Linked DNA regions of Diceros bicornis minor. Each later gene encodes a partner of the first gene's protein in a complex. Links are inferred from orthologs where the notes say so. Each region holds a gene or a part of one and is shown on either strand. Other genes may lie near its edges. The genes, in order: KEAP1, NFE2L2, FBXL17 and PTMA.

What was found.
Region 2: the proteins of KEAP1 (region 1) and NFE2L2 are in contact, whole or in part, in a crystal structure (PDB 3WN7), measured with the Mus musculus proteins. The link is inferred for Diceros bicornis minor from reciprocal best matches to the Homo sapiens genes KEAP1 and NFE2L2. Residues at the interface, in NP_001103775.1 of Mus musculus: Tyr334, Ser363, Gly364, Arg380, Asn382, Pro384, Asp385, Gly386, Asn387, Asn414, Arg415, Ser431, Gly433, Cys434, His436, Ile461, Phe478, Gly480, Arg483, Ser508, Gly509, Tyr525, Gln530, Ser555, Ala556, Tyr572, Phe577, Ser602, Gly603; in NP_035032.1 of Mus musculus: Leu19, Ile22, Leu23, Arg25, Gln26, Asp27, Ile28, Asp29, Leu30, Gly31, Val32, Val36, Phe37, Phe39.
Region 3: the proteins of KEAP1 (region 1) and FBXL17 are in contact, whole or in part, in a crystal structure (PDB 6W66), measured with the Homo sapiens proteins. The link is inferred for Diceros bicornis minor from reciprocal best matches to the Homo sapiens genes KEAP1 and FBXL17. Residues at the interface, in NP_036421.2 of Homo sapiens: His59, Thr60, Ala63, Ile66, Met67, Glu69, Leu70, Gln75, Leu76, Gln82, Lys84, Ala90, His96, Val98, Ala101, Ser102, Ser103, Ser104, Pro105, Val106, Lys108, Ala109, Met110, Thr112, Asn113, Gly114, Val122, Ser124, Glu126, Gln163; in NP_001156787.2 of Homo sapiens: Asp395, Arg397, Arg421, Lys423, Asn447, Gln473, Tyr475, Met524, Arg548, Asn572, Cys574, Leu575, Trp577, Glu596, Tyr598, Val600, Ser601, Asp623, Trp626, Lys628, Tyr647, Met651, Arg652, Val676, Leu677, Asp679, Cys680, Thr683, Leu684, Arg686.
Region 4: the proteins of KEAP1 (region 1) and PTMA are in contact, whole or in part, in a crystal structure (PDB 2Z32), measured with the Mus musculus proteins. The link is inferred for Diceros bicornis minor from reciprocal best matches to the Homo sapiens genes KEAP1 and PTMA. Residues at the interface, in NP_001103775.1 of Mus musculus: Tyr334, Ser363, Arg380, Asn382, Arg415, Phe478, Arg483, Ser508, Gly509, Tyr525, Gln530, Ser555, Ala556, Tyr572, Gly574, Phe577, Ser602; in NP_032998.1 of Mus musculus: Gln40, Asn41, Glu42, Glu43, Asn44, Gly45, Glu46, Gln47.

The regions. Positions count from the first base shown.
Region 1 is NC_080769.1:8,739,565-8,746,792, reverse strand, and holds the start of KEAP1 (kelch-like ECH-associated protein 1), read right to left. Parts: upstream 3,264-7,228; 5' UTR 3,107-3,263; intron 3,004-3,106; exon of another isoform or gene 2,717-3,003; intron 2,610-2,716; exon of another isoform or gene 1,142-2,609; 5' UTR 1,095-1,141; coding exon 456-1,094; intron 1-455. UniProt on the Homo sapiens protein: Substrate-specific adapter of a BCR (BTB-CUL3-RBX1) E3 ubiquitin ligase complex that regulates the response to oxidative stress by targeting NFE2L2/NRF2 for ubiquitination.
Region 2 is NC_080749.1:57,827,049-57,835,100, forward strand, and holds the start of NFE2L2 (nuclear factor erythroid 2-related factor 2), read right to left. Parts: upstream 3,151-8,052; 5' UTR 3,147-3,150; coding exon of another isoform or gene 3,102-3,146; intron 2,134-3,101; exon of another isoform or gene 1,917-2,133; intron 1-1,916.
Region 3 is NC_080740.1:31,796,375-31,803,983, forward strand, and holds the start of FBXL17 (F-box/LRR-repeat protein 17), read right to left. Parts: upstream 3,206-7,609; 5' UTR 3,145-3,205; coding exon 2,155-3,144; intron 1-2,154. UniProt on the Homo sapiens protein: Substrate-recognition component of the SCF(FBXL17) E3 ubiquitin ligase complex, a key component of a quality control pathway required to ensure functional dimerization of BTB domain-containing proteins (dimerization quality control, DQC).
Region 4 is NC_080776.1:20,082,725-20,090,584, forward strand, and holds the start of PTMA (prothymosin alpha), read left to right. Parts: upstream 1-4,756; 5' UTR 4,757-4,928; coding exon 4,929-4,973; intron 4,974-7,744; coding exon 7,745-7,816; intron 7,817-7,860.

The DNA.
Region 1 (7,228 bases):
ACTTCCTCCACTTCTAAACGAAAATGAAACCAAGCAGTGCGGAAGGACAAGACTGCAGGGACCAGAGACAACACGGCGAAGGGTCACACTGGCAGTTGGCAGCTTGTCCCCGGGGGGGGGGGGGGGGGGGGGGGGGGGTTCAATAACTATTTGCTGACTGCCGGAAATGTGAGGCCCTGCTCGGTGAACCCCAGGTTGAGCTGCTGTCATGTTCACTGCGCCCTGTCCCCACCCTTGACCCCAGGGGAACCAGGGAGCCCATGAAGGCCTCCCTGTCCCCAGCCGTGTCCCGGCGTCCCCCCAGATGTGTAGACCAGGAGCTCAGAACCCCATCTTTCTCCAGCTCCCCGCCTCGGCCCTTCTCATCTCCAGCGGAGAGGGTGAGGCCCGCCTGTGCGTCCTGGGTCCTTCCGAGTCCGCCCCCCAAGCGCCCTCGGGTACCCCTCTGGGCTCACCTCCCCAAAGTGCATGTAGATGTACTCGCGGGCGCGCTGGTGCAGCTCGGCACAGCCGATCTGCTCGGCGAAGTTGGCGATGCCGATGGCGTTGCTGGGGTCCAGCTGCTGCACGAGGAAGTCGCTGCAGGCGCGCACCACGCTGTCGATCTGGTACATGACGGCGCCGTTCATGACGTGCAGCACGCACTTCTCGCCCATGGAGATGGACGCGGTGTAGGCGAACTCGATGAGGCGCTCCATGACCCTGGGGTGGATGCCCTCGATGGAGACCACCTCCATGCCCTGCTCCCGCAGCCCGTTGGTGAACATGGCCTTGAAGACGGGGCTGGAGGAGGCCAGCACCACCTTGTGGGCCATGAACTGGGCGGCCGGCACGTCCCCGTACTTGACCTGCAGCGTCACGTCGCACAGCTGCTGGCTGAGCCGCAGCTCGTTCATGATGCCGAAGGCCTGCTTGGTGTGGTCCTCCAGCGTGTAGCTGAAGGTGCGGTTGCCGTGCTGCGAGGGCGTCACCTCGGCCTTGCACTCCGTGGAGGCGTACATCACCGCGTCCCCGGCCCCCTCGGGGCGCTGTGACCGCAGGGGCAGGAATCGGGTGCGGGCCCCAGCCCCGCTAGGCCTGGCTTCCTGCTGCATGGGGTTCCAGGCCACAAGGGACAACACCACCACTGGCACTCAGGGGCCTGGAGGAGGGAGAGCACAGGGCTGGGGGCGGGGCCTGGCGCCAGGCCTCCTTTTTAAGGTAAAGCGACCCCTAGACCAGTATTCCTTGCCAAGCCGCGGTGCAGCAGCATCCACGTGGGCTCGCTAACTGTCCCAAGGGTCGCCAGCCCAAGGGTCCCTCTTAAAATTAACACAGGTCAGATGATGTCCTTCCCCTGCTCAGAATCCCCCCACAACTCCCTATGGCATGAAGAGTAAAAACCGAACTCTTCGATGACCCGCAAAGCCCCCTGCAGTTAGCCCTTCTCCACCTCTTCCCTTTGCTCACTCTCTTCCTGCTATCTGGTGGCCCTTCCCTTCCTAGAGCATGTCCAGCTCATCCTTCATCCACCTCGCCAACATTTATTGAGTGTCTACTGTGTGCCAGGCACTGTTCTAGGCACCCGCGACACAGCAGTGAGCAAGACAGACATAAACTGTGCCCCCCTGGAACAGACACTTGGGGAGCAAAGGGCCATAAATAAAATGACAGGGTGACCTGGAGGCAGTTACTTAAAGTCAGGTCGTCCAGGCCTCTGTTGGAGCCGAGACAACAAGGATGAACATATGAAGGGGGTGTGGGTGGGAGTTAGTGTTCCAGGCAGAGGGAACAGCAAGTGCAAAGGCTCAGAGGCAGAATGAGGAAGGGATGTAAGGAGAGACAATGACTCTTGAAGGGAGGGTTTCCATGAAACCCGCGGCGTCTGGAGGGCCAGGGCGTGAGTTGTGCTTTGAAAGGCCCCGCAGGGAGAAGTGGGGGATCTGCAGAGGCTCCCCAGGTTCTGCATCTCATCCTTCCGGGGCTCAGCTCAGAGTCACCTCCTGCCTGTTTTATTTCCATCCCCGCGCTCGTCGGGAACCGAAAGGAGCTCCTCTGCTCACTTGGTGAGGGCTGGCCCGGCCCTCTGGCGCTCGCCCCCGCGCATCGGAGGGCAGGGAGTGGGGGTCAGCGTTGTGCCCACCCTCGCATGTGCCTCGCGCACGTCCGGCCTGGGGCCTGGCACCGCGCAGGGGTCAGTGAGCGTGTGGCTGGCGGGCTGCCCGCTCTCCCGCGCCTGCCAGGGCACCCTCCTCCACCAGGCCACGGCGGAGGCCCCGGGCCTGCCTCTTGGTCTTTGGCCCATCGATCAACGGTGCCCGCTGTGCGCTGGGCACTCCCCCCCAACCACCACGAAGCGGTAAGTGGGGGACTGCGCATGCCCCGTCGGAGCCTCCACCGAGGCCTGGAGCAGGGAGGAAGTGACCCCGCCGCGGCCTCTCCACTGCCAACCCCAGGGCGCACGCCAAGCCCCCAACGCCCCGGGGTCCCGGGGCCTCCATCGGAGCGGCGCTCCCCGGGCCTCCCGCCCGGCTGGCGTCGCCCCCGCGCCACCCCGCCGGTCGCGCCGTCCAACAAAAGGACAGGACTCGGGCCGCGCCCTCCTGGCCCTCCGCGGGGCCGCGGGCACCCCGAGGCCACCGGGCCCGCGGCGGCCCGACCCCCGGCCCCCGGCACGGCCGCAGGGGCGCTCGCGGCCCGCCGTGCCCGCAGCCCGGGCGCAGGCCGCCTCACTCACCCCGCCATGGCCGCGCTCGGGCTCCGCCTCCGTCGCCCAGGCCCGGGCGCCTCCATCGCTGCGCCGGGGGGAGGCGCGGAGCGCGCGCAGGTCACCATGACTAAGCAGAGCCCGGCGCCGGCCGTGTCACAATAAAAGTCCCCGCGGCCCCGGGGACGACAGAGGGGCCGTCCCCCCCCCGCCCCCGCCGGATGTCGCCAGCTGCGCAGCCCCGGCGCGGCCACCACAGCGCCCGTCCTGGCGGCGCGGCGGGGCGGGGGACCGCAGCCCTCGGCGCACCCAGCCGCGTGGTCCGAGCCGCCGGGAATCGCGGCCTCGGGTTCGAGGCCCGTGCGCCCCAGTCCGCACCCGGGGTCGGCGGACACCCCTCCCCGCCGCCGCCGCGCTCACCTCGGCCCCCGCGCAGCCCGGGTGGCTCGCGCCGCGGGGGGGATGCACCGTGGTGTCACGCGCGCGCCGCGCTTCCGGGAAGCCCGAGGGGCCGCGGCCCGGCCGGGGGCGGCTCCCGCCTAATCGTCGCTGTCCGGGCCCCCGGGCGCCTCTGCCGTCGGGGGACCTCGGCTCCGGGGCCGCAAGGCCTGCGGGGTCGCGGCCGTCGGGTGGGGGTCGGCCTCGGGACGCCCGGGAAGGAGGCGGGGAGAGGGCGGAGAGGGCGCGGCGGGGAAGGAGCCGCGATTCCCCGCCCTTCCCGCAGGTGCCCGGCGCCCAGGGGCGAGGAGCGGGGCGTCGGGTGGGGCCGCATGGCCAGGCGCCCCCTGGCACCGTCCCTTCCATCCGCCCTATTTCGTGGTCTCAGCGCAGGGCTGCTCTCCACGGCTCACTCCTCCTTTAACACAGGCCTCACGGTCCGGCGGCCGCAGGATCCAGCTAGAATTATCTACTGAGTTCGGTTTTCCTTGTCTTTATTTTTTAGGTACCTCCAATCTAGAGGCGCGTGGAGCTCGTCTGCGCAGGTTCGAACCCCGGCTCTGGCAATCTCTAGCTCCCTGCCGGTGGGCCTGTAGCTTAACCTATAAATTGGTAACAATAGGGCCGGCCCGTCGCTTAGCGGTTGAGTGCGCCCGCTCCTCTACTGGCGGCCCTGGTTCGGATCCCGGTCGCGCACCGTGGCACCGCTTCTCCGGCCATGCTGAGGCCGCGTCCCACATACAGCAACTAGAAGGATGTGCAACTATGACATACAACTATCTACTGGGGCTTTGGGGGGGAAAAAAAAAAGGAGGAGGATTGGCAATAGATGTTAGCTCAGAGCCCGTCTTCCTCAGCAAAAAGAGGAGGATTAGCATGGATGTTAGCTCAGGGCTGATCTTCCTCACAAAAATAAATAAATAAATAAATTGGTAACAATACGAGCAGCTACCCGCCAGGTTATCGGGAGAACTAAATGCCCATGCTACCGCCCAATAATATGAACGATTGTTATTTTTCATGACAAGGGATACTGATTTGCCATTTATGCTGTTTATGCTAGAAAGTTAACTTTTCAATAAATGTAAGATTATTTTTAAAAGAGTCCATCTATATGAAAACTAAGTGAATAATAGAAGAAACGCTAGACTGAACAGAGGTTGGTGTAAGAAAGGATTCTGTCCACCTTCCGGGTGAATTTGGAGGATTCAAGGTCCCTGCTCAGTGTCTGGGATTAAATGGGAGGCCGGGGTTCCCCACCTGGCCCCTGATTTCTCTTGCGTGAGGCTGCAGTTCTGGACTGCTCCAGAGGGGTCGACATGGCGTAGTCGCGCTGTGCGGAAACCCGCATCCTGCTCGAACACGCCAGAAGGCAACCCCTCATATCTCTCAACATCAAATCTACAGGTCCTGTGACCCAGCGGTGACACTTGTAGAGATTTATCCAAGGTACACTCGCACACGTGCAGGAGGATGTATGTACACAGATGTTTATTTCCACCCTGTGCTTACAGGCAAAAGATTGCACTCAACCCACATGTCCCTCCCTAGGGCCCTGGTGTGCTAAGTGGCGGCACATCCATGCTGTGAAATACTATGTAGCCAGTGAAAAGGAGCAAGACATTTGCTCTACGAATTTACCTTGATTTTTAAAAATGTAAAAAAGAAGTGCTACAGACTGAATTGTGCTCCCCCTCCAAAAAAAAATTTTATGTTGAAGCCCTAACCCCCAATGTGATGGTATTTGGAGATAGGGGGCTAATTAGGGTTAGATGAGGTCATGAGGGTGGGACCCCCATGATGGGATTAGTGCCCTTATAAGAAGAGACATCAGGGGCTGGCCCAGTGGTTAAATTCAGGGCACTCTGCTTGGGCAGCCTGGGTTTGAGGTTCGGATCCCAGGCACGGACCTAGACCACTCATCAGCCATGCTGTGGTGGTGACCCACATAAAAAATAGAGGAAGATTGGCAAGGATGTTAGCTCAGGGAGAATCTTCCTCAGCAAAAAAAGAGAGAGAGAGAGAGAGAGAGACATCAGAGAGCTTCTTGCTTTCTCTGTACCACTCGAGGACACAGGAAGAAGGTAGCCATGTGCAGGCCAGGAAAAGAGTCCTCACCAGCACCCAACCAAGCTGGCACCCTCATCTTGGACTTCTAGCCTCCAGAACTGTGAGAAATAAATGTCTCGTTTAAGCCACCCAGGCTATGCTGTTAGGGCAGCCGGAGCAGACTAGGACAGCAGGACACTACAAAATCTGTGGATGTGGGGCCGGCCTGGTGGCGCAGGTGTTAAGCTCGGGGGGCCCCGCTGCGGTGCCAGGGGTTCCCGGGTTCGGATCCAAGCGCGCACCCACGCACTACTTGGCAAGCCATGCTGTTGCGGCGTCCCATATAAAGTGGAGGAAGACGGACACAGATGTTAGCCCAGGGCCAGTCTTCCTCAGCAGAAAAAAAAAGAGCAGGATTGGCAGATGTTAGCACAGGGCTGATCTCCTCACACACACAAAAAAATCTGCGGGTGTGCAGCAATTTCCAAGATACATTATTAAGTGAACAAAGCAAGATGCAGAGCAGCGCTGACGTTCTGTAAAAAGATGTGTTTACATTTCACCTCCTTTATCCACAGCACAGCTCTGAAAGATTCCCGGGAATTCCCACAGTGATGGACTCCAAGAAGGGGAACTAGTGCTTTCTGGCTTTTCTAGAATATGAACAAGTGAATAAAGCTCCTACCAGCACACCATCAAACAACCGAATAGCGGGCTGGGGTGTCTCAGGTTCCCCGGGAAGAGCCTGGAGGTTGGGGCGCCAGGCCGGGTGGGGAACTGGGTCCAGTCCTGGGGGTGTCCTGGGACGGTGACCCCAGGCTTCAGTGTGTTTGTGTTCCGGGAAGTAGGTCGGTTTGCCACGCGTGGCCCGTGGAGACTCAGGCCCCCAGGCTGAGTCGGTGGTCCCCAAAATACCCCCCCGCCCCCGTCTTTGCGGCTGCCTGCAGTTCCGCTGTCTCCCGGCAGGTGGCGTGCGGCAGTCTGAGCCCGGAGCCCCCCGCCCCTCCCCCGGGCCGGCCCTGCCACTCAGGGGTCAGGAATGCGCCTGGGGACAGCCAGGGGCCGCGGCCAGCGCGCCTGGAGCCTTTTTTGGGCATAAAAGGGGCCCTGGTATCGCCCCCGGCCCAGAATGCAGACCCCCAAGGGAGGGGGCCTTGCCAGACCCCTCTGGAGGAGCCAGACAGCAGGCCTGCACCTCCTGGGACCTGGGAGCCTGGCTCAGACACTGGGACAAGGCTTGAAGTTTCCTCTTCTGTCAAATGGGGGTACAGGAACCCACATTGCAGGGTTGCAGTAAGGGTAGGAAAAAGGTGTGTTCTGGGCCTGCCACAGTGGGGAGACTAGCCAGGCACAAAAGCCGTCATTGTTTTTATTTTATTATATTTTTATTTTGTATGAAGGATCTGACACCACACTCAAAGAAGTCTTGTTTCGGATAGGAATTGGTTGAGTCTCCCAGAGTCAAATTTTAGGGTGCCCTGTCTGGTGGTCCCCTAAACTGGAAAGCTGTGATTGGCTTCTTTCTTTCCATCATTTCCACACTCAATTCCTCAGTAATTGTGTTGCTGCCTCCAAAATCTACCCCTAACCCACATGGTCTGGGGCCCCGTCATCGCTCCCCTGGGCCAGTGCAGTCACCTTCGCCTTGTTCTCGTAGCTTCCACCTTCCCCCTTCACAGAGATCTGTGAACATCTGAACTAGGTCAAGTCCCTTCTCTGCCTAGAACCCTCTATGGCTCCCATCTCACTCAGAGCAAAAGCAAAGGCCTCCCGTGGACCCCTGGGCCACCTGCTCCATCATTTCTCTGCCTTTGTTTCCTCCCATTCTCCCCCCTCCATTGCTGCTCCAGGCACATCGGGATCCTTGCTTTTCATAGAACACACAGGCACATTCCAGCCTCAGGGCCTTTGCATCTGCTGTTCCCTCACCCTGAAATGCTCTTCCTTCGAGTATTCCCAGGACAATGACGTCTCAGCTCACATCACATGTTACCCCCTCTTCAGAGAGGCATCCCCTGACCGCCATCGCGTCACTGTATTGTCACTAGAATTATC
Region 2 (8,052 bases), on another chromosome or scaffold:
TGGTCCAGTTTGGAAGTGGTGATTAAGAGCCATCAGAGTCAAACTACCTAGGTTTGAATCCCACCTCCGCCACTCAATAGCTGGGTAACTTTAAGCAGGACTCTTGCCCTCCCTATGCCTCTTTTCTCACCTAGAAACTGGAGCTAATAGTATTTCCCACAGGGTTACTGTGAAATTACGCATGTGAAGCAATTATCGCAATGCCTGGCACGCAAGGAAGTGCCCAATAACTCATCTATCATTGTCATAGTGCCAAATTCTTCCTGCACCCAAGCGTTTACATGGAAAAGTTACCCCAGATCGAGGAAATATTATTTATGCAAAACCCCCTTTAAATGCGTTCAGCCAGTAGCGAGGAAATTCCCAGGAAAAAAAATGTGCTTATTGTCCACAGAGAATTCCTTTTCTCATGCAGCTCTGTAAGTATAATTCATCCTGAATAAAAATAAATATTAAGAAAAATAATGTATTTGGCTTTCAACTCTTCCCGGTAATCCTAAAGAAAGACACTTGCTTTTTCCAGCATTCTTTATAAAAACCCAAGTTAACAAGAAAGATTCCAAAATGGACCAAGTTATTTTTAATGCAGAAAGATTGATGTGAGTTGTGTATTTATCCTCCTGCATGCCACTTCCATGATCTCTCAAGAGATTCTTCACCTATCTAAAAAGTCAAGTTGTTCTTTGCTTAACATTCATTCAGGAGATGAGAGGCCTGTCCTATTTTTCTTTTAAAAATAATCTTATCAGTCTATTGCCAAGATCAACTTCATCCCTCCTATACGAAAGTACTCTTTTCTTGAAAAGAGTAATGGATGGTTGCTTCCACCTAATGGAAATACAGAATTGAAGACTCTCCTTCCTGCCCTGTTCGTTATAAACCTCCTCTGCACAGAAGACGAAAAACTGAATGATACTCCTATCTTACACCTGGAGTTTCCTGAAAAAAGGTCAGAATCCACTTCTGACTCTTTGTTCAAATCTTTCTGGACTACAAACAGTGATTTAATATGAATCATAGTTATACACATGAAATTGATTCTAAATTTTACTTCATTTTCTTTTTTCATAGTCTTCAAATATGCATATTGATGTCCGATTACAAAGGCGGAAAGGCAGTTACCTCATCAAACATAACTGGAAAATTCATATTTAAAAGAGAAAGCAGTACATGTGCTTTACGCATTTTTGTATATAGAATGTTAAATTACATAGTAAAGAAAGAAAAAAATAAAAAATAGAGGGCTCTAGGCTACAATTCCTGAATTTAGGAAAACTAAAGTCCATTAGCATCATATATCTTTTGGTCATACAGATTACTATGTAAATGGCTATATAGATTACTTTTGAACAGCAGCTAAATAGAAAACACAATTTACTTTTTCATAGTAGTGGGAAGGCGAGGAATACAATCCTAATCATTACTGGGGGAAAGTTCAAGACAAAAAGCTTTAAAGAAAAAAAACCACAATTAATACATTGTCAGTAACTTAAAACCTTACTTTAGATCTTCAGGATCAGTCTAAAACTTTACATTTAAGAGCACAAACATATTTATTGTATCTATTAAGTTATACATCTCCTTGAACCAAATATTTTTTCCTACGAATCCAAGTACAAAAAAAAAATTTGGAAATATAAATATCTACTCCTTTAAGAGTCTCTACAAAGTATGAACAGAAACTTGTTTTCACTTTTTATAACAATTTACAGAACCTGTTAGCAAAGAACTATGAAACACAAATGTCTCATCCTCTGCCCCTGCAAAAGAAGCAACATGCCAAGAAATCGAGGCAAATTGTCAAACAGAAAAGGAAAATTATATAAAGCACTCAAAGGAGAAATAATATATGAAAGCAAAAAATTACTAACAGCCTAAAAGCAATAGAAATGCTAATGTACACTAGCAACTCTTACCCTTGACAGCAGAGAAGAGAATATCCTGCTTTATACATTTTGGAATTGCAATTCTGAAACGCTAAATCCAAAGACAAAGCCGCCCTGGGGAAAATAGCAATTGCGCAACAGATCAACAGCTCCAACTTGTCCCTTGGCCCCGACGCGGCAAGGTTTGCACGCTATAAAGCAGGAAAGGGCCAACCGAGGGCCGCCGTGACAGCCAACTGGCCACTGTCACGGAGGCCGAGGCCACGCACGCGGCGTGCGCCACCCGGAGGCACCGCGCGGGGATCGAGACGCCCGGGGCGCGGCCGACTCTGACCTCCGAGTCCGCTGCCCCGCCTGCACTTCCCGGCGCGTTGCGAGCGGCCGACCCGGGGTCTACGAGCCCAAACTTTTCCCACCGCACGAGGGAGCGCGCGGGGCTCGGTGCCGCCGCCGCACGTCGGGGTATCGGAGCGAGCTGGGCACTTCAGGACCTCCTCCCTCCCCCACCCTGGGGGTTGGGCTTTCTCTCCCAAGTGCTTAAGAGCGATCGGATGGGGAGACTGATTGATTACTTTGCAAAGAAGCACTCCTGTACGGCCCGGCGGGGTGAAAGCGCCGCACCGCAGCCTGCGCTCCCGGAGCTCATGGGGCCAGGGGGCGACGGCAGAGGAGGGGCTCCGGGTCTCTGCCCGGAGGGGACCTCAGCTCCCCCGAGAGCGGCCCCGTGACTAGGCACATTTTTGCCGACTCCGAGGCGGGGGAGCCGCGCAGCCCCGGAAGGGCCGGGCTGCGCCGGCTCAGACCGCCAGCGTCCGCCCCCTCCTGCCCTGCCGCCCGTGGGACTGCTCGAACTCGGGGGGCTGGCCGGGGCTCCCGCGTCCCAGCTCCGGCGGCCGGGGACACCCCTTCACCCCACGCGCGTGGGCGCAGCCCCCAAAGCCCAACCCAGTCGCCCTCAGGGGCCGCGGGCACACTGTTGGTCGGACCACCCGACCGCGCCCCCCACTCCACTCGCAGCCCCTGGGGTCCCCACTCCCCCTCCCAGCCCGGCCCCGGCGCAAGCGCAGCGGCTCCAGTGCGCGGCCGCTGCAGTACAGGTTCCAGCCATAGACGGGAGGAGAAGCCGGCTGCAGCTGTCCCTCCCGGGCCGCGGCTCCCTCGGTCCCCTGTCCCCGTCCTGGCACTACCGCGGGGCCCGGAGGGCCGGGGCAGCACCTGCTGGGACGGCTGTCCCGGTGGCGGCACCTCCAAGGCCATCATGCTGAGCTGTGGACCGTGCTCTGGGGCTCCCCGACGGCGGCCCTGTCCCGGCTGCCGAGGCGCGGCGCGGACAGGGCGGCACGGGTGGCGGCGGCTCCTCGGGTCTCCCTCTCCGCGACACAACCGGAGTCGCCGGCCGGGCCCTTGCCCTGCTCCGCCTCCCGCCCCCCGAGGGCGGGGCACGAGCCCAGGCCCTTCCTTCCCCCGCTGGCCGCGCGGGCCGAGCTTCCGAAAATCCCCCACCCCCGCCCCGGCTGACGCAAGAAGCTGGCGGTCTGGGGGCGGGGAAGGGCCGCGGGCGCGGGTCCCTGTGGACAGGCGGGCGGGGTGCCGGGAGGAGGGCTGCATTAGCTCTCTGGTCTCCGCTCTGAATTTGCTCTGCCCCGCAAACAAAACCCACGCTCTCCGTCCGCGAGATTAAGAGTTGTTTGCAAGGTCGCTGGGGTTCCGGCGCTTTGAAACAGTTTAAACAGTTGGAACAAACACGCCTGGAGACCCGGCAGAGGCGCTGGTATCGGAGCTGCGCCTCCCTGATTTGGAGTTGCAGAACCTTGCCCCGCTTTATCTCACCCAACCGCCCGGGAGTGGCGCCAGCCCCGGGGGCGGGGGCCGAAGGCTGGGACCCAGGCCGTGCGCACCGCAAACTGGCCTCTCGCCATCGGTCCCCCCCCCGGGGCTGGAGCCAGTGGGACTTGCCCAGGGGAAATGTGGACCGCGCGGGGAGCTCGTGCTCGCAATCACCCTGAACGCCCTCCACTTACTCCTACGCGCTTGCACTCTTACTAGACTCAGGTTGCCAAGGGCAAACGGAGAAGTCTCTTTCGGTCGGAGAGTGGTCAGTATTGCTGGCCAGGAGCTCTCTCTTCCCACCAAGGCGCGCGCACCACACCAGAGATGGCGTCCTTTAACACTGCGATAATGCAACATGCCATAATCTTTGCAAGTTTCTTTTCACGTACGATATAACTTAAAAGATAAAAATGAAAATAAAAAAGATCAAGTTATATAATAGTTTGTATGATATGGACCCGTTTTGTAAAAACATGTGCCTAGAAAAAAAATTGAAAGTTGTTCGCCAAAATATTAATAGTTGTAGAATCATGAATAATTTTTATCTTTCTCTTTGTTACTTTAAGTATGTTTTAAATCTAAAATGACTATGTATTACATTAAAAACAGTTATTTAAAAATTAATTATTGCCCACAGAAAACTTCAAGTACTTGAAAACAGGAATATTGTGACATCTTTCAAGATTTAAAAGAGAATAGATAAATGGTTTTGTTTTGGTTTTTTCTTTTATACATTAACAATCTTCCTCACTCTTTAACAAGTCTGCTTTTCAGTTTCTAGCTTCTTGGAATTATGCAAAACCAGGTGAGTAGACAGTGCCCGCAGTGATTTTACTATTTCATTCAAAAACCTGATGCCAAGGGGAAAAAAAAAAGCCTGACTATAGCAGATCAACGCCCTAAAATCTGCAAAGAACATACTTTCTCTTGGTTGCATAATTTGACACTCCCCGGATTTATCTGTAAATTTATATGTTCAAATATTCCTTGAGGTAAGTGAAGCCTAAATTAATTGCTTGTAATTGAAGCAAGCTTCTTCAACTTGAATTAAACCCTTTCAGATGTTATGTGAAAAGCCGGCAAAATGATCTGCACACTGAAAACAAGTTTAGGGGAAGTTATTTACAATGAATCTGACATGAAACATGCAGAGACATAACGAAATGACATGTCTGCGTCAAAGAAGGGCACAAGAGTATATTCTTAACAATTCAAGTTACTTATTAATACTACTAAATCTGTGAAGGCAGACAATAAGCCCAGGAGGTAGGAGATACTAAAGTCATATATGACATGGTTGCTGCCCTCAAGGAGTTTATAAAGTGTTTGGTATTTCCTTGTTAAGCAACAATTTTCCATTGAGTTTAGATTGAATGAAATAACCTTTACTTTTACAAAACGGCAATTGCTGAAAGTATATTATTTCAGGCACCTGCAGAGTACATATTTTCAAAGGGAGGAGAACAATATGATGAGTCTGAACATGTTTAAGAAAAATAAACACTAAGGAAAAGCTGTTTGGTGTTAAATGGTGGTTCAGCACAAGAAAAGGGAACCCCAGTCTCAGACCACCCATGTCAAGGAGGTTCTCAGTCTTTGCAAACACTGAAATGAGATGGTCTTCATGTGAAAACCTAGGCCTTCCCCTCTAAACCTACATATTGTGCTATGGGGGCACAGATGCTGCACGTTCAGAAGCTCCAGGGGAACAGGAAAGAGGATGCTGATTTTTTTCTCCTGTCCTGGTGCCAGGGGAGTCCTTTTTACTGCTAGGGTCTCCTAGCTACTATTTTATTTTTTCCCCCACTTGGTTTCACATTCTACTAACCCTTGTACATTTCCATTGATGTCTGAATTTTTTGCTGTCTTTGGAAAGACAACCTTCCATATATGCTAGAAATGTGTCAGAATTGTAATACTTTGCTCTAGAATTCTTATAAAAAATGAGCATCATCAAGTAAGCCTTCTGAGTGTGCAAAGTTTGGATAGTGATGCAGTGACCCATTATTTCACCTTCTTCTTGGTGATCTAACGTGCCAAGTTTGAAAGGCCCAAGAAAGTACCACTGTTTCAAAATCCTTCATCACCTTGAGACTTCTTCCCTCTTCTTTTCACTTCCCCTTAATTGTACTCCCTGTTCAAGCCAGAAAATATCCAGACTCTCTTGAAATTAGAGTTGAAATTCTAAATTTGTCCAGCTTACAAGCAGCTAGTTTCCAAAGGTGGCAACCAATGAACCACCCTTCCTGATATTGATGTGCTTGTGTAGTCCCCCCACATTGAATCAAATGACTTGCTTTAACTTATGGAAGGAGGCTGGAAGTGACACTATACCAGGTCTCTGCCTAAGCCTTTAAAAGGCCTGAAAGCTTTTAATTTTATACTCTTAGAAGTCAGCCATCATGTAAGAAGTTTCACTCTTCATGGGAAGACAGCCATGGGGACAACCCTGGGGGATGAGACTCCAAGTGGAGAGATGCTATATGAGCCAAGAAGGCACCAGGCATGTGAGTGAAGAAACCAACTTGGACCTTCCAGCCTACCTAGTCAAGCCCCAGAGGACTCCAGCCCCAGCTGCTTTCTGACTGCAACCATAGATGAGAAACTCCAAGCAAGACCAGTAGAAGACTGCCTGGCTGAGCCCAATCAGTCGAAAGAATTGTGAGAGATTATAATGTTATTTTTAGCCACTAAGTTTTGGGGTGGTTTGTTTCACAGCAATAGATAACGAAAACAGCATATATTGAATACAGAAGGCAAGGTTTCTCCTGGCTGCCTTTTGTTTGTTAATCATCCTTAGGAGCACATATAGGGATGGTACTTTGCAGTTTAACAGATTCTCAAATCCTCAGAAGCAAATTGCCCTCCCTGTGAAGGAGGAAGGTATCTTTCCTATAATATATACTTGTTGCTACATACAAAGTAAATCACCTCATCACAGCATGCATCAGTATCATACTATTAAATAGATGATAGTGAGATATTCTCCTTATCAAAATACACTTAAGGAACACAGATATTTCATCAATTAAGTAGATGGAGGTATAAACACGTACAGAGATTCTGGCCCTGACGTGACCTCATTTATACCAGTTATGTAAGATACTTGCTGAATATCTGCTGAGGGAATTTGAACTTCAGGAGCAGCATGCCCAGTGGATAAACTGAACTCCAGTACAGCAGCATTCAAAATAATTGGGGTATTAATTTCAAAAAAACACCCATAACCTTGGTTCCTTGGTGTGCACACTTCACTATGCAAACTACTGATACAAAGAGCTGTATATCTCCAAAGCCAGTTTTAACTCATAGAGTTTCCTGGTCATAATAGAAACAGTACTCTGCAGGAACTGCAGCGCAGTAAGTAAAGAGAAAAGCTCAGAAGTTTAAGAGTGCTTTTGAATTATATGTGTTGATACCTATATAAATATACCTGCACAGGAAAAAAAGACTGAACATATACACTCCAAAATGTTAACCATAATCATTCTGATTAGATTACTGATAATTTTATTTTTCTCATTTTTGCCTGTCTGTATTTTCCTAAATAAATATGTATTACTTTTATAATGATAAGCAAAAAAAGTGGTGGTGGCGTGTAGTGGTAAGGAAGGAACACTTGCTTTTCTCCCAAGCCACTGGGTCCATTTCATTTTCAATTTGAATTTTAACCACAAGTTTTGAAAATCTTTCCATTCTGCATTTACTAGAGTGGAGCCTGGAGAATTTAACCACATCTTTAAGTGTGGTTGTGGAAAGAGTCTAAAGATCCTTTGCTCTTTCAATCTGCTATATTTGCAAAGTTTCACTCAGCAAAATAGGAGCCCCAGACAAAGATGGAATTTTATGAGTACATTGAGTAGAGACTAACAGCTGCAGCTTGGGAGTGATATGCAAAGTTTCCCATACATAACATTGCTGTATGGTGAAAATAAACAGAGTACAGAAAAACACTTATACCTAGAAGTATGTCTTCAGGGCCAGTTACCAAATAATGAGTATACAAAATCAGACAATTCAGTTTTATCACTTTTTCATCTTTTCTGCATTGTTCAGATTTTTACAGTAAGCACTTTTAGAATTAGGGGGAAAAAATCAATTAAATTATTTTCATTTTGAACAAACAAAAAGTAGAATGTAATGATGGAAGAACAGGCCTTGCAGATGAAGCCTTTAACACTTTCAGAGGCTGGAATGTGAAAAAAGGAAGTAAGATTTACCAAGATATTTGCCTTCTGGGATTTGCTATTCCATGGACTCTCATTTTGGCCTTTGAGTAATATCAGAATTAAAAGAATGCTTAGAGATCATCTGGCCCAAACATGGCAAGTAAGTT
Region 3 (7,609 bases), on another chromosome or scaffold:
ACAACAATAACTCAAGGGAGGATATAAACATTTCTTAGAGACTTCTCTTAGCGGCATGACATATGCACCCAGAGTCTCAGCCCAGACTTCCTAAACACCTAGTCATTCCTTCGTTCATAAATATTTACTGAATGCTACTAAATACCAGGCACTGCACTTAGGGGAGGGGACAGAGCAATGAACAAGATCTATTTCGATAGAGCCTCTGTCCTCAAAAAGCTTATCCTTAAAAGTTCTACTTGGATTGGTAAACACTGAAAAACCTCGATTTCAATTCATTCCAAACAATCCAACTCACTTCATGCTGAACCACTAGGACCATGAGACCCACAAGAGAATCTTTATTCAAGCTTCTAATACAAAGAATGGAAATCTACATAACATGTGCAAATACTCTGACACAACAGGGCAAGTCCAACCGGTATTTCTCATATGTTCCTCAGACCAAGTTTTCAAAAGTCCACAGCAAAAATGCGAGAAAGAACAATGTAGCTGATAGAATAAATTTATTCTATAGCAATTCTCTTTATTACGAGATCATGTCCTTCCTCCTTTCTTCTTTTTATATTATAACGTTCTCTACCTCATGAAATAATGATTTAGGTAGAAAGTACCTGGTTTCCGTTTTGGTTTGGTTTTAAACAGTCTTACTTGCCCAATAACAAGACAGCAATCAAACCTCTATACCAAATATTTGTTGATATTTTATTTGTCCATGTCATCCACTGATTTAAAAGACTCAAGGAAGTTCCTTCTGCCCTAAAAATGCACATCCTGAACACACACAGAAACCAATTACTCCGCCAACAAGTACACCTCAATAAGAGTTAAATCATTACCTACTGACACAAGGAAAAATTAAGCTTTCCCATTCTTTTGCTGTATTATTCACAAGAACATTAATATCACAATAAAACAGACCCAAAAATCACAGGATTATAGATAGGCAAAAAGTCTAACCAAACAAAGAAAGTATACTGATGACACTAACAAATGGAATTGATGACAGTTACTTCAATAACAATAAAAGTAGCCAAATTTTTATCTAGGTTATTTTTGGCTAGTCTTAAATATCATCCACATTGAAAAAAGAGGTTTATATTTATTAAGCTCCAGAAAGGTGTGGGGGGGGGTGGGAGTTGGGGGAGATGAGAGAAAATGAGGAAAAATAACTAACTTGTTAATAATAACTTAATACAAACTCTACCACATAATTAAGTTTGTCACTAGCATCAACAAAACTGCAAAATTTACTTGTAGTTCAATGTGAGACAAAGCTCCCACAGGACACTCACCTCTTCTCCACTGGCCCATTCCCCAACAAAAAATACATCTGTTGTTACCTTCTGGTAATCTGTACGCTTTTATGTAAGGGTTAAAATGTAGAAAGGCAATACAACACAGCACAAACAACAGGGTTTTCAAGTCAGGCAAGCCTAAATTCCCTAGTTCAAGATCCAGATCTACCCCCTACTTTCTGTGTGTGACCTTGGACAAGTCATTCAACCTCTTCAAGCTCCACTAGACTGTAAGCTCCATAAGAGCAAAGACAATTTCCGCCTGACTGACTACTGTAGGCACATAGCACTGAAATATCAGTTTCTTCTTGTATAAAGTAAAGATGTTTACGATATTTATCTCACAGTGGTAATTGGAGGATTGAATGAGACATTATGTATATAGAGCTCTGACACAGTGCCTGATCATAGTAAACGCTCAGTAAAAGTTAGCTGTTATTGACATCAACTAGCAACTACCAAACCTCAAAGTACTGTTTGAAGACTTTCAAACACTAATATGTACACAAAATCTTTACCCAGTAAGTAAAAATTGCTCAACTGATGAAAATATTTCACAGAACACCTACGAATAGTTTCTAAACCCCTGGGCTGGGAATCTAATGATAGATGAACTCTGAATTGTGCCTAATAGACCCAAGTTATTAAAAGACATTCAGTAGACTCCAAGTTTTTCTACTTCAAAAAATAGTCCATAAGCATCCTCCCCATTGGCTTTGCAATCTACCCTTCGGACCTCTCTGGCTGTCAGGGAACCCCCTCCTCTGCGCTCAGGGGGAGGAGAGAGAAAATCTCCGAGGTGGGGGGCCGGGGTTGAGGGAAAGCGCGCATCCCTGCGCCACTCGCCCAGACCCACCTTGAGCAGGATGGATGGCGGCAGCTGATTGATGTCTGGGGTTTCAGGGGGCGCCTCCCTATGACAGTCACAGGGGTTTTCGGGGGTCTCCTGACAGTCCGCGTCGCCGCATTCATGCTGCTGCTGGGCAGGCGAGGGGGCGGTGCCCCCCGCTCGGACTGCGTCCCCGCCGGCCTCTGTGGGGGCAACTTCGGAAGTGGGAGAGGAGGGCGGGGGGCAGAGAGGCTGCGGCGGCTGCTCTGGACCCTGGCAGCAGCCGGCGTCGGGGGGCCGCGGCGGCGAGGCGCCTCCTCCGGCGGGTCCTCCCCCGCCGCCGCCACCGCCGCCGCCGCAGCCCCCACCGCCGCAGCGGGGCTGCTTACAGGGGGTGCAGGCGGGGACCCCGGCCCCCTTCCGCTTGCACACCATCTCGGGGGGCGTGGGGGGCTCGGCTGGCGGCGGGGTCGGCCCCCGGAAGAGCTGCACGGCGGCGGGCGGCCCCAGGAAGCGCACGGGCCCCACGCTGGCCAAGAAAAGGCTCCGGCCCTGCTGCTCCCAGGCGGCAGCCGCAGCCAGCCCCAGCTCTTTGCAGCAGGAGGCGGGCGACGAGGCCGAGGCGGCGGCAGCGGCGGCGGCGGCGGCCGAGGAAAGCAGGAAGCGGCGGGCGGCGGCGGCGCAGTCCTCGGCAGCCAGGGCCGCGTAGCACCGCGCCAGGTGCTGTGAGGAGGCAGCCGCGGCGTAGGCCCCGTCCCGCGGCGGCGGCGACAGCGGCGGCTCCTCCTCTGAGCCGGCGGGGGCGGGCGCGCCGGGGCTGTGCACGATGAAGCAGAGCATGCAAGGCCCGCGGAAGAAGCAGTCCCGGCTCCGGGGCGCCGCCGGCTGAGGGGGCGCCTTGGCCGGGGTCCGGCGGGGCAACCTGAGGAGAGGACGGCGGCGGCGGCACCAGCTGCAACAGCGAGGCCTCTTCTGGCTCGGGCGGTTACGCGGCTCCTTCGAGAGAAGGTGGCCCATATAGAAGGCCCCGGGGAGAGGGACCGGGACGGGGAAGTAGGGAGGCCCGGAGAGGCGGGCTCCCGGCAGCGGGGCAGGCCGCTCGCTGGCTCGGCCTCGGGCCCGCGGCGGGGTCGCCCGCCCTGCGCACCCACGGGCACACGCGCGACGGTGGGGGGTGGGCGTCAGATGCGGGCCGCCCCGGCGCCCGACGGGGGCTACATGCTTTGCCCAGGGAAGCCGGGAGAACGATGGGCGCGAGCTTTGGGGACGCGACAGAGGGAGCGAGCCTGCCGCCTAGGCGACCAGTCCGAGCCTGGCCCGCCGGCTCAGTCAGTCAGTGCGGCGGCAGGGGGAACGCGGGGTCCCGCTCGGACCATTTTAACTGCGGCTCCGCCGGCGGCGCGCGCGCCCGCGACACAGCTCGAAACCACAGGAGCGCGCGGCCCGCGCGGGGAGGGGGCGGAGCCGGCGGCGGCGGCGCGCTCGGGGCGGGGGCGCGGGCGCCCGGCTGCTCACCCGGGACAGCCGCTAGGCAGGGACTGCTGGGAAGAAGCGGGCCGGCGAGGGCGCGGGGCTCGCGGGGAGCGGCGCACGCACCTCCCTCCGGTCGCCCAAGGTTTCGCGGAGGCCGCTAGGCCCACGCCCCTTTCGTGGGGCGGGAGGAGACGCTTCCGAGCCAGCTGTGTGACATCCGTTTGCACAGCCGCGCTGACGTCTGTAGGTGTAAGTTCAAGAACTGCCATTGGCCGGGAGCCGCTCGCTCTTCCCCTCAACCCCCACCCCCGGTCTAGGAGACCGAGGCTCCCAAGGAGCCGTAAAGCCGGTTCCGCCGGAAGGCCACCCTGGGTCCCGGCTGCCTCCGGTGGAGTGGCAGATGCGTGGCCTTTGGAGGAGACGGACCTGTGTTCTTACGTGAGGGGCTTATTGGTAGTGCAGCACTGCCGTGTTTCTCCGACTTGTTTTCGTACTTGTTGCTTGTGGCAGACTACTGACTTTTCATAACTTTAGTTCAAAATGAAAGCATATATCAAATTGCCTATACATATCAGAAAAATAAACAGTTTCTCAACCCAGTGAGTCATCCAACATCCCAGGCTACAAGCTGTAGATGACTTTTTCGTCTGCACCCTCGGAATCCCAGCTATCCATCCATCATATATTTCAAGAATGATTGTGCTGTGCCTGCTATAAGATAGACGGTTCTAGGCGGACCTTGGGGACCCAGATGAGAGAGAGCAAATAGGCTTTGGAGACAACCCGTTAGAAGGTTTGACTATGATACCAGAGAGAGAGAGCAATTTAACAAAGCGGTGGCTGGTGTTGAGAGGTTAGCTTTCCCAAGGGAGAAATTGGAAGAGGCTTAAACACAGATGGGAATGAGCCAGTATAAAGGAAAACATAGGGATACGAGAAGAGATGATACAACAAGGCCCCTGAGAAGATGGACTGGTGAGTACCTTACGAGGGCTACCATCTTCTTTGTAATTGGAAGGAATAACGAAAGGACAGATAAACAATGGATACAGATAGATAGATGTTTCTGGCAAGAAAGTGAAAGAGTTTCTTTCAAATGGTCTCTATTTTCCTTTATGTGAAGCCTGGTTACCTGCTGAAGGGTGGAAGGAAAGTGTCAGGTGTTTAAAAAAGCTACTAAAAACTTCAGAGAACTGACTAAGGAAGCACTATTGCAAGATCCAAGGCCTATTGGCTTAGAGACCATTGTTTGAGCCTGTGTGATTTTCCCACCACAGTGGCTAGCATCACCCAGCCTTCACCCAAACACACCAAGGAACCTTTGCTAACAGTGGCTTGTCAGGAATGACTTTTATTTTAGGTCTGCCAACATTCAGGGATCCTTTCTGAGCTTGATCACAGTGAGATGGAATTCCAAGAAACCTAGAGGCAAAGATTTGTCAAATCTTTGTAGAGGTTTTTATACCTGTTACTCCCTATCAAATGCACTGCCCAAACTACATTCATGTACAGATATTATCCACACAGCTTTCATCCCTCTGACTATAAAGGGATCTTCCAGGGCCCCACAGCTCCATAGGTGAGGACAGGAGGTTAGGAGTTATAACCGATCCTTTGGCATCTCTACCAGCCTACACTGTGAGCAAAAGGAGGGGTTCTAAACCTTTTTATTACTTTCTCTATGTCAGAATTGTGGACCCATTAGTTTCATATAAGTTAAACACACACTATGGCCTAGCAATTTCACTTATAGGTATTTATCTAAAAAAATAAAAGCATACATCCACAAAAAGACTTGTTCAAAAATAGCAGCTTTATTCATGATCACCTAAATCTATAAACAGACCAGATGTCCATCAGTAGGAGATTGGATAAATAAACTGGTATACTCATTCGATGGAATACTACTCAGCAATTTTTTTTTTTTTTAAAGACAACAATGTGTAGGAATTTCAAAAAGTGAAGCTGAATCACACTCTGGAGTTGGGGCCCTAGAAGCTCTACCAGATTTTAACAAGCTCACCATGTGATTACTACACAGACAGCCTGGCACCATGCAACCCTATCAGAACTGCACATATAGTATAACTCCAACTTTTTGTTTTCAGAGATGAGGCAAGTGACTCTGAGACTTTTTAAGTGGTTTCCGAAATTCACAGCAGTAGTTCTTAAATCCGATTCCCGAGCCATTCAGCCGCAAGCAGGTGGCTGTTTTTCTCTTTACAACAGCATGTAGCAGAGGATCCTGTATATTTTAGTAATGATTAAGAAAGCTACTCGTGTCGTCAGCAGAGCTGTAATGAGTTTTAGAGCTCATTACCCTAAATAATAATGATAAACATTGTAAATATTCAGGAAACAGAATTATGAATAAAAGTTATAAATTGCAATTTAGAGACAATTATAGCACTTTATGGCTTTGTTAGTGGGAAAAAGAAAAGCAGCCTGATCATCCAGGAGCTGGCCTGGAACTGTTAGCTACTCTTTGGTGTTACCGACGTTCTCAGGTAGGTCTGAGTGTTCTATTTGAACATAAACAGATCTCACAAAACGTCAACGTCAGACATGGCCACTCTGTGACCGTAATAGACAAGACAGAAATAAGACCTCCATAATCATGTCTGAACACAGCAAATGCCAGAACATTCTCCAAACCACAAAAATGACCATTCTGGCTAATATAAGTGACTTCTGTTTCTTGACCAATTACAACCTTAGCCTTGCTCCATTCTTCCTACCTTCTAGATAACAATTATTAAAATATCCAATCATAGAATTACCTCTGCTTCCTGACAGCGTCCAATCTAAACCAAAGCCTTGACTCTTCCCAAAATCACCTAACACAAGCCCAATCCTGTAATAAGTCTTTTACAACACCTTCTTCCTGAGGCTTTCCATAGTTCCTCATGGTGTGCTATCTGCCTCCTTGTGACAAGTCAATAAACCCAACTCGCTTTGATTATGGGTGTGTTCCTGCTGGTCTTTGGCTTCTGGAGTGCATGAACATTTGTTATAATCAAATGTTACCACCCTATCCAAAATTACCCCCTCCTTATGCTGTGCACTGTAAACTTATACAGTGCTGTATGTCAATTATATCTCAATAAAACAAATTACTTCTTCCTTTACCCTTTCCTCTTACCTCATTTTTATTTTCTTTATACCTCATTATCACGTGTTTATTGTCATTCTTTTACTTTATTCAGTCTCTTCCACTAGAATGTAAGCCCATGAGGACAGGGAGTTTGTTCAGTTTTTAGGAACATAATCTGGCAACTGTATAGAAGATGGACTAGAGAAGGACGAGGCTCTTAGCAGGAAAACTAGGTAAGATTGTTCAAAGGGTCAATGGAGAGGCCTTAAAAGCCTGAACTAAGGCAATCATGGTGGGGATAATGAAGTAGGGGTGGGACTGAGAAACATTTGATATGTTTCTCAGGATTCTCAGGATTTAGTAACTTATTTATGAACTCAAGAGGAGGGGGAAATGGATAGTCAGGAATAGCAACTTGTGTATTCATATGACTTATTTCAGCATATAACTTGTGAAATAATGGATTCTGTAATATAAAATATTTTCGTATTTGAATAAAATTCAAACCTGGGGTAGACATGTTACGACGTAGTGACATTCACACTGAAAGCCAGTAAATAAATTTAAAATGTTGAAAAACAGTTTAAAAGAAAACTTTTCTTTCTTCTTTGCCAACACAGAATATACTCACTTTGAAATTCACATTTGCCTATAAAAAGACACTCATGTATAAAAGGCTTTAATGGGGGTCGGCCCCGTGGCTTAGCGGTTAAGTGCGCGGCACTCGGCTGCTGGCGGCCCAGGTTCGGATCCCAGGCGTGCACCAAGGCACCGCTTTTCAGGCCACGCTGTAGCGGCGTCCCGTATAAAGTGGAGAAAGGTGGGCACTCATGTTAGCCGAGGGCCAGTCTTCCTCAGCAAAAAGAGGAGGATTGGTATGGATGTTAGCTCAGGGCTGATCTTACTCACTGGAAA
Region 4 (7,860 bases), on another chromosome or scaffold:
ATGGCAGGAAGGGGCAGGTGTGGAGGTGCCCAGTTAAATGCCTCCTCATGGTCACATACCAGCCACATACCCCCTTTCCTTGGGGGCAATGCTCTCGAAGGCATTCCCAGGCAGGGTGACTGGGAATGTGTCTGCACACGTGCTCCCCCCACAGCACTTTCACCTGCCACCGTGATGCTGGGCCCACACACTCACAAACAGTAACCAGAGCTTAAGCAAAACACCCACGGAGCTCGAGCTATGCAAATAGGTGCGCACACACAGATGCATGCAGGGATGAGGGGCTGGGAAATGGCGCGGGCAGGCAGAAGATTCCTGGAGACATTGCAGGGGGCACGTGCACGAGGAGCCCAGAACTGGCATCACGGCACGAGTGTGCTCAGGAAGCAGTGATGGCCGTGTACACAGCACATACACCTCCCCCAGCCTCCTGAGCTCGTCTCCAACCAGGGCATCAGTTTGGGGGCATGCCCGGAACATCAAGAGATGCTCCCCCCCTCTCCCCACCAGGCAGGAGCCTCTCGGGGCAGCCAGACCTGTGTGGTACCAGGGCCTCTGGCACAGCTCCCCAGGAGAATGGGCAGGCCCAGGCGTGCTGCACAAGGGAGCAGGCATGTTGGGGGATGGCTCTTACACAATCCCGTCCGGTCGGCAGGGCGGGAGAGTTGAAAGGCCCCTGGCAGCTCCCCAGGCCCTTACGCCTGGGCCAGGAAACCACAGCCTGAAACTCCTGGGTTTCTGAAGGGCGGGATTTTTTGAGGCCTGCTCTACTCAGGCTGCCGCCCAGACTCTGTCATTCCTCTGAGGCCAGAGGGGCTGCCAAGCATGTTGGGCATGGAATCATAGGCTTCCAGAAACTCAGCTAGGCCAGTGCCCTCATTTCCCACTGAACATGGGATGAATTTGCTGAAGACATCGTTCCTTTGTCCAGAGTCCTGCAAACAGTGTGACCCACTTAGGTACAGATGGCAACTGGAAAGGGGGGTCCCGGGAACATGGATGGTTTTCCCGGATGTGCCAGACACTATTTTAAGCACTTTCTAAAAATTAACTCGTTCAGTTCCCACTATAATCCTGGAAGGTAGGTACTATTACTGTGGTCTCCATTTTTTAGAGTGAGGAAGTAACTCACCTAATTTCACATAGCTAGTGTGTGGCAGGGCTGGAACTTGAAGCCAGGCAGCTTTACCAGCATTTATAGTCTTTCTGGTCTTTTGGGAATCAAGCAGAATTTAAGACAACCAGTTAGGAATACGGTGGAAACGGCTTAGCTGCAAGGGTTGAAAACTTAAGTGCCTACAGGGCTCAGCAGGTGAAATAAACATGTGACTCAGGACTGGCAGGGAGAGGCCTGTGGTCCAACTGGAAAGTGTGTAGACAGCCCACGCCATGTCCATATGCAAATTCCCTAAAAACAAAACTTGCCCGGAGGCCATTTGGGGCCCCTGGCTTAGACCAGTGCACTTCGGGCTGTAAACAGACCGGGGCCAAGAAATGCTGCCTTCCTGGGCCTACCAGCTTGTCTGGGGTGGGTTTGAAAGGCCTCAGAAACAGCAAAGGGCAAAAATGCCTCAATGAGTGGAAGTTAACAGGGGCCAGGAAAAACAGCCTGTTCAGAAACAGCAAAGAGGTGGGGAGTTGCCTGTCACTGGGGGAATGAGGCTCTTGGTAGCCTAAATAACTCCACCAGTTACGAGCTGAGCCATCAAATGCCACACTCTGAGGGCAAGGAGGAGGTTCAAGGAGGCCACTTCTGCTCCAGGGCTCATCTAACAACGCAGATTCCTCCATCCTAGGATTTTAGCCCCAGCCTGGTCACTGAGTTACTTGGTTACTGCAAGTCCCTTGCCATAATCCCTTGGTCTGCTTTTTTGACTTGTTAAAAGGAGAGTGATAAAATATTAGAGGTTGAACCTATAAATTTGCTGATTTTTAACCAAATTTTTTTGGTTTTGACCTACAAAAACACCAATTTTCATACGATTCAACCCTATAATTGTCCGGCCTACCTTGCAAGGTGCAGCAAATAAACGAAAATGCTTGACGTATGAGCCAGAGTCTCACTGCCACATATGCAGCAGGCACTCAGTGAGGCTAGGCAGATGTGAATGCTGGTTCCAGAACCAGGTGGATGTGAGCCCCTTCCTTATCCACTTCTAGCAAAGCCAGCTGCACGGGGACAGGGTCAGGCAAAGCAGTTCCTCGAGGGAAACTCACTTTCACCTAGCTCCTCCCCCATGTTTGCCCCTGCCCCCCCACCCCAATGGCCAGAATCCAGAATAGTCACGTATAGTTTTCAGCTGTGGACAGAGACAACTACCTAAGGCCACCATCCAGACAGGGAAGACGACTCAATCGCCTAGATGTGGCACAGACCAGGCTCTCGCCGCTACATCCGGGTTTTGTGGACTAACAATCCCCTCGAGGATAACCAGAGCTTAACGGATGCGCCGCAGGTAGAAGGCGCTCTCCTGCCCCATTTATGATGTCGCAAATCCCTCCACCTCTCGGAGAATGTGGCACAAAGGAGGGGGGTCGCGGCGGCGGGGGGCAAGAAGTCCCCTCCTCCTCTGGGGCGAAGGGCGGCCCCAGGTCCGCGGAGCAGTAAAGGCAGCGGCGGCGGGAGGGAGGAGGCCGAACAAAGAGTTGGGACGCGTGGTCCTTGGGGACACCATTGTCAGTCCCTTGGATCGGCTCGCGCCCACCCTCGGGAGAATCCCACCTCCAGCCATTGGGGCGCCTTGGGGCAGGGCGGAGACCTGGCGGACGCCTCCTCCGCCGCCGCGTAACCGGCACGGGATGGCGACCGCCGGGCAGAGGGAAGTGGTGCGGTGCCCCCGCTCTGTCCCGTATGTGCCCCATGTTCCTCCAGGCCAAAGGACAGGGACCTCGGGCTTCTCTCTGCCCAAAGGACAACTCGTTCGGGGAAGTCCTACATGCCAGCGGCCAGACTGTCAGATGGGAACAGGGATGCGAGCCTGACGCGTACAGGACAGGGACAGCAGGAGGGGGCCCAGACCCGGGTGGCGCCCCGGCACTCGTGCCTCCTCCCGGCCGGGCAGCGGAGCCCGGTCCTGGGGAGGCAGCCAGGCGAGTGCGTGGTACCCACAGGAAAGGGGAGTCTCGCGGTGGGAATGGGGGGCCCCTAACCTAGGAAAACCAAGAAGGGCGACTCAGTCTCTCCGTTCTCTTCTGATTTCAAGCTTTAATGGACTTGGCACCCGTTCCCCCTCCACGATCCCAGACTCCGGGTTTTCTCCGTTCCCAGATCGGCGGCCCCAAGAGACAGACAGCGGAATCTGCCAATGGCAGGACGCAAAGCGTCAACTTTGTGTTCGCCCGCCACTCTCAGCCAATGTGCGCTCGTTTCTCCGAAGTCCCGCCTTCCGTGTCGGGCGCCCCCTGCTGGCAACGCAGGAATGAACCGTATCCGTCGCCATCTTGTGTGTGGCACAGATATTTTTCTGGAACATCTTTCCACCTTTTCCAATTTTTCCTCCCACACAGCTGGTTTCTTAGTTCGAGAGCCGAGTGCAGTGGCGATAAGGAGGGTGTAACCTACGGTTTTCGGATCGCCTGCGTAGGTCGGATCGCCGCGTCACGCCACGCTTGCCGAGCCCAACGCCATCTTGAGTGTGGCGTTAGGATGGTTCCCTTCTCGGGGCTCCGCGTGGTTCCCCAAATGGCGCCCTGAACTTCAAGGAGCCCCCAAGGACTAGCCCAGCTGGTCTCAGAGACGGTTATTTCCCCCCAATAACCCCGCAATGTATAAGTTCGTGTGCCCCTCGCAGCCCCTTAAGTGGGGTGGGAGCGGGGCAGATTCGATGGCCGGGACCTGGAGAGAGGCTCCCTGAGGCTGTCGCGACGGCAGTCACCGACCGCTTGGGGCAGGCGCTGTCCAGAACCCTGTAGTTCAGGACCGCTGTGTGGTGCGACGCCCGCGAGCTAGGAGTCCTGCTCGAGGGCAGGAGCCCGCTCCGGCCCTCGCGCCCCCTCGATGCACGAATCCCCGAGTGTGTGTGCTTGGCACGGAGCCCGCTCGTCGGCTGGCTCAGGCGGCGGAGGCCTGGGCTGATGGTGGGCGACGGGGTCCCCTACCCAGGGACTCCGGGCGCCCGGGGCTGGACGTGGTAGGACGGGGCGGCCCAAGTACGCGGCTCTCGGCCTCGCACCCTGATCGCCCGTCTTTGGGGTTTCCGCCCACTTGCACTGGGACCACTCTCGGTCGAAGGTGCCCAGGCGCCGGGGGCGGGCATCTCCGCGGGCACTGCGCAGGGCACCGCCCGGGGCGAGCGCAGCCCAGCACCGGGCCTTCCCCTCCCCCTCGCTGGCAGCCGTCGCGAACGCCGGCCGCCGCCTCCTCTTCCCTCCCCCTCCTTCCGAGCAGTCGCGGGGAGGGGGAGGACTGGGGACTGGGCGGGTAGCTTTGCCGCGCTTTGGCTTTCTGCGTCAGCAGCCCCAGCAAAACAGCAGCGGGAGCGAGCGTCCTGAGCGCGCCCGCGCGCCCCTCCCCCCGCGGCGTCGGCGCCGCGGAGACCCGGCAAACTCAGGCCTTGAATGACAGTGCGGCCGGCGACTGCGCAGCGCGGGACGCACCAAGGCACTGCCGCTTTAAGCACGCTTGCCCATTGTTCGGAATCGAGCCAATGAGCGAGCGCCCGCTCCCTGCGCTCAGCCAATAGTATTCGGGCAAGGGAGGCCGAGCGCCGCCCACAAATCTATATTAAAGGTTCTGGCGCCGCGTGAGTTCCCCACTGGCTGCTCTGAAAAGCCATCTTTGCATTGTTCCCGTGTCCGGCTCCCCGCTCGCCGCAGCCGCCTCCGCCGCGCGCCTCCGCCGCCGCGGACTCCGGCAGCTTTGTCGCCAGAGTCCTTGAACTCTCGCTTTCTTTTTAATCCGCTGCATCGGATCACCGGCGTGCCCCATCATGTCAGACGCGGCCGTGGACACCAGCTCCGAGATCACCACCAAGGTGAGGCTGGACGCCGCCCGCCCCTTCGGGCTCCGCGCGCCGCTGCCGCCGGACCGGGGTTTTGCGCGTGGTTGCTGGGCTGCTCCGAGCCCGTTGTTACTCCTTCCCGCGGGGAGCCCACCTGCCCCCGGCCTAGGTCCCCAGGCAGCCCACTCTTTGTGTGTGCGGGGGGGGGGGGCGGGAAGCGCCAGACGAGATGCCCGTCGGGGAATGGGCCGGGCGCCCTCAGGGACTCCGGGGGGCGGGCGCGGAGGCTGAGGGGCTCGTGGGGAGGCTGCTCCAGGGCTCCCGAAACTTGTTTGTGACTGGTCTGAGCAGCGGCGGGAGGAAAGGGTCTGGGCTGGGGGTCGTCGGCCCGCGGGGCGCACGGAAATAACTTTGAAACTCGAGCGCGTTTGCAATCGGAAGTGTTGGGGGGGCGCGCGTGCGGGCGCGGGCCGGCTGCGGGAAGTGGCGGCTCCGCGGCGAGCGCCCGGCGGCGGCGCTGCTCTTTGTTCCGCGCCGGGCCGCTCTGTTTCGCGCCTTGCAGTGGGTCCGAGGAGGCTTATCTGGACTAAGCTCCGATAAGGCGGAGTGGGGTGGCGGGCCGGCCGGCCGCGACGTCGATCGTCTCCGCGGAGATGCGAAGCTTCTCTCCGCCCGGGGTGCCCTCGGGGAGGCGGGGGTGGGCGTCCTCCGGGGGAGCGCGCCGGGAGCAGCCGCCCAGCTTCAGTAGTTCACCAGCGATGCCGGGCTTGGCTGAGGAGGAGGCGAGCCCACGCGCTGAAGGAGAGGAAACGGAAAGTGAAGGAGCGGCGCGCCGGGGCGACGATGGGCGCCCCCCGCGGCTGCCCGGGAGCACCGTGTGCGCGGCTCTTCGGGGGCGCCACGGGCGAACAAAAGCTGTGGCCGTGGCTGGCCGTGGCGAGGTCGAGCCGGGCGCCGGGGGCCTGTCGGGGCTCGGTGCTGCGGGTTCATTGCCTTCGGTTTTGAGATTCTGCGCGTTTGGCGCAGCTCCTCTCCTGCGCGCCGCTTTGGTTCCGCTGCTCGCCCCGGGGAGCGTCTCCACCCTCGGCGGGAGCGCGGCACTTGGAAGTGGACCGGCTTTTTTATCCTTCGGTTCTTGTCCGCGATCCTCTCGTGTCCCTGCGGGGACGGGCGCGAGTCACCTTGGCGTCTCCTTAACCTCGGTGCTTCTGGCGTCACCTCTGGTTTTCCCCCAGGGGCGACTCCCCCGGCGGAGCGGAGCTTGCGATCTGCCTTGCCGCAGGGGCTCCCGCCGGCCCCCTCTGGGCCCAGCCCGGGAACTAGTTTGGGGAGGACGATCGGTCCTCTTATGTGCAGGCGCCCACGTTCGCTTTTTCTCCAAGGTGTTTTTCCGCTAGGGGCAATAAATCGCCCCATGGAGCGCGTCCCCGACGGTCTCCGACTGCGGGGCTGAAAAAGCCCCGCGGACTTCGGGGCGGCCTCCCGCGGGACTTTGCCCGCCAAATGCAGAGCCGCAGGCTGGCGCATCTAGGCCCGCGGGGGGGGGGGGGCGGCGGGAGGCCCGGAAAGACCGGCGCGCAACCTGCGCGCTCGGCGGAGCCTCGCGAAGCCGGCGGGCCCCGGGTCTCCAGGGTCAGGGGCGCACTCGGCGGCCCCGGGCCACGTGCTCCGCGCGCGCGGTGCGTGCCGAGGCCCGCGCGCAAAGCCCGCCGGGCGGGGGCTGTGCGCCTGCGCGCCGCGACCTCCCCGCCCCCACCCGCTCCCCGGGGCTTCGGCCGCCAGGGGGCGGGAACGGGCGGCGCTGGGGTCTGCGGCGGGCTGGCCGGCCGGGGCGAACAGGGCCGACAGGTGCCCCCCGGCCTCTCGCTGGACGGTGCCGGGCGGCCCCCCGCGCCCGGGCCGCTCGACGCCTGTTTGTGTTGGCGGCCGGCTCGGCCACGCCGGGTGGAAAAAGTTACGGAACTTAGGAGCAGCCGTGGTGGTTCTGCCCTTTGGAACGCGGGCCGTGTGCGCGCCGCGAGGTGCGGTGCGATGGCTACCCCGAGTCACCGCGGGGACGGGCGAGAGGCCGGGAGGGACATGGGGCGGTCCTGGGCGCACGTCGCCGGCGCCCATTTCCAGGCAGCAATCTGTGACCTTCTGGGACAGCTGTCGGATATGGGACATTGGTAGGATCTCGGTTTCTTCAGAGACCTACGCTTGCCGGGTCTTGGGCGCCCGTGGGCGAGGAACTCGGGCTCGGCTGCGAGGACTGGCGGGCGAGGCGGCCTCCCCAGCTCTGCCTGTTCGTTCCCGCCCAGTCCCTTCCCAGGCTGGTCCACCCCCGGGAATTCTCCCGCGGTTTCAGGGTTCTCCCTACATGACTTGGTTTATTTATGGTGTATACGTGCTGCCTTCCAAGAAGGATTTGTGGGAGGCGGAGCTCCTGTGCTTGGAAACAAGTCGGTGATAGGTGTGTGAGTGAAGTGTCCCGGGCTCGTCCGCCCGGCCAGACGGGTTTGGGACTGTGCTGCCACATGGCTTCTTTCCTCAGAAGCATGAGTATGTGGGCAGTGGGACCAGACGTAGTGGGCCCTTTTTAGTATGTTAGTGTGCTTTAAGGGTTGAAAAATCGGCTGAAATCTTGTCCATAGTCGTGCTCGGTATGCTGTGGTCCCTCCTTCTAGCGGTTCCATATGTAACGTGCGGCTCTTTCACCTGTGGCTGTCCAGGTCAGCACGGCACGTACACCTGTAGCCTTTGGGCCTCTTTGCCAGCCCTGGGTTACTTAGAAGACTTACTGGTTTACTCTTGCTTTTTTGAAGGACTTAAAGGAGAAGAAGGAAGTTGTGGAGGAAGCGGAGAACGGAAGAGACGCACCTGCTAATGGGAATGCTGTGAGTGTCCACCTCGCTCATGACCCCTAGCAGCTCTTGGCCGA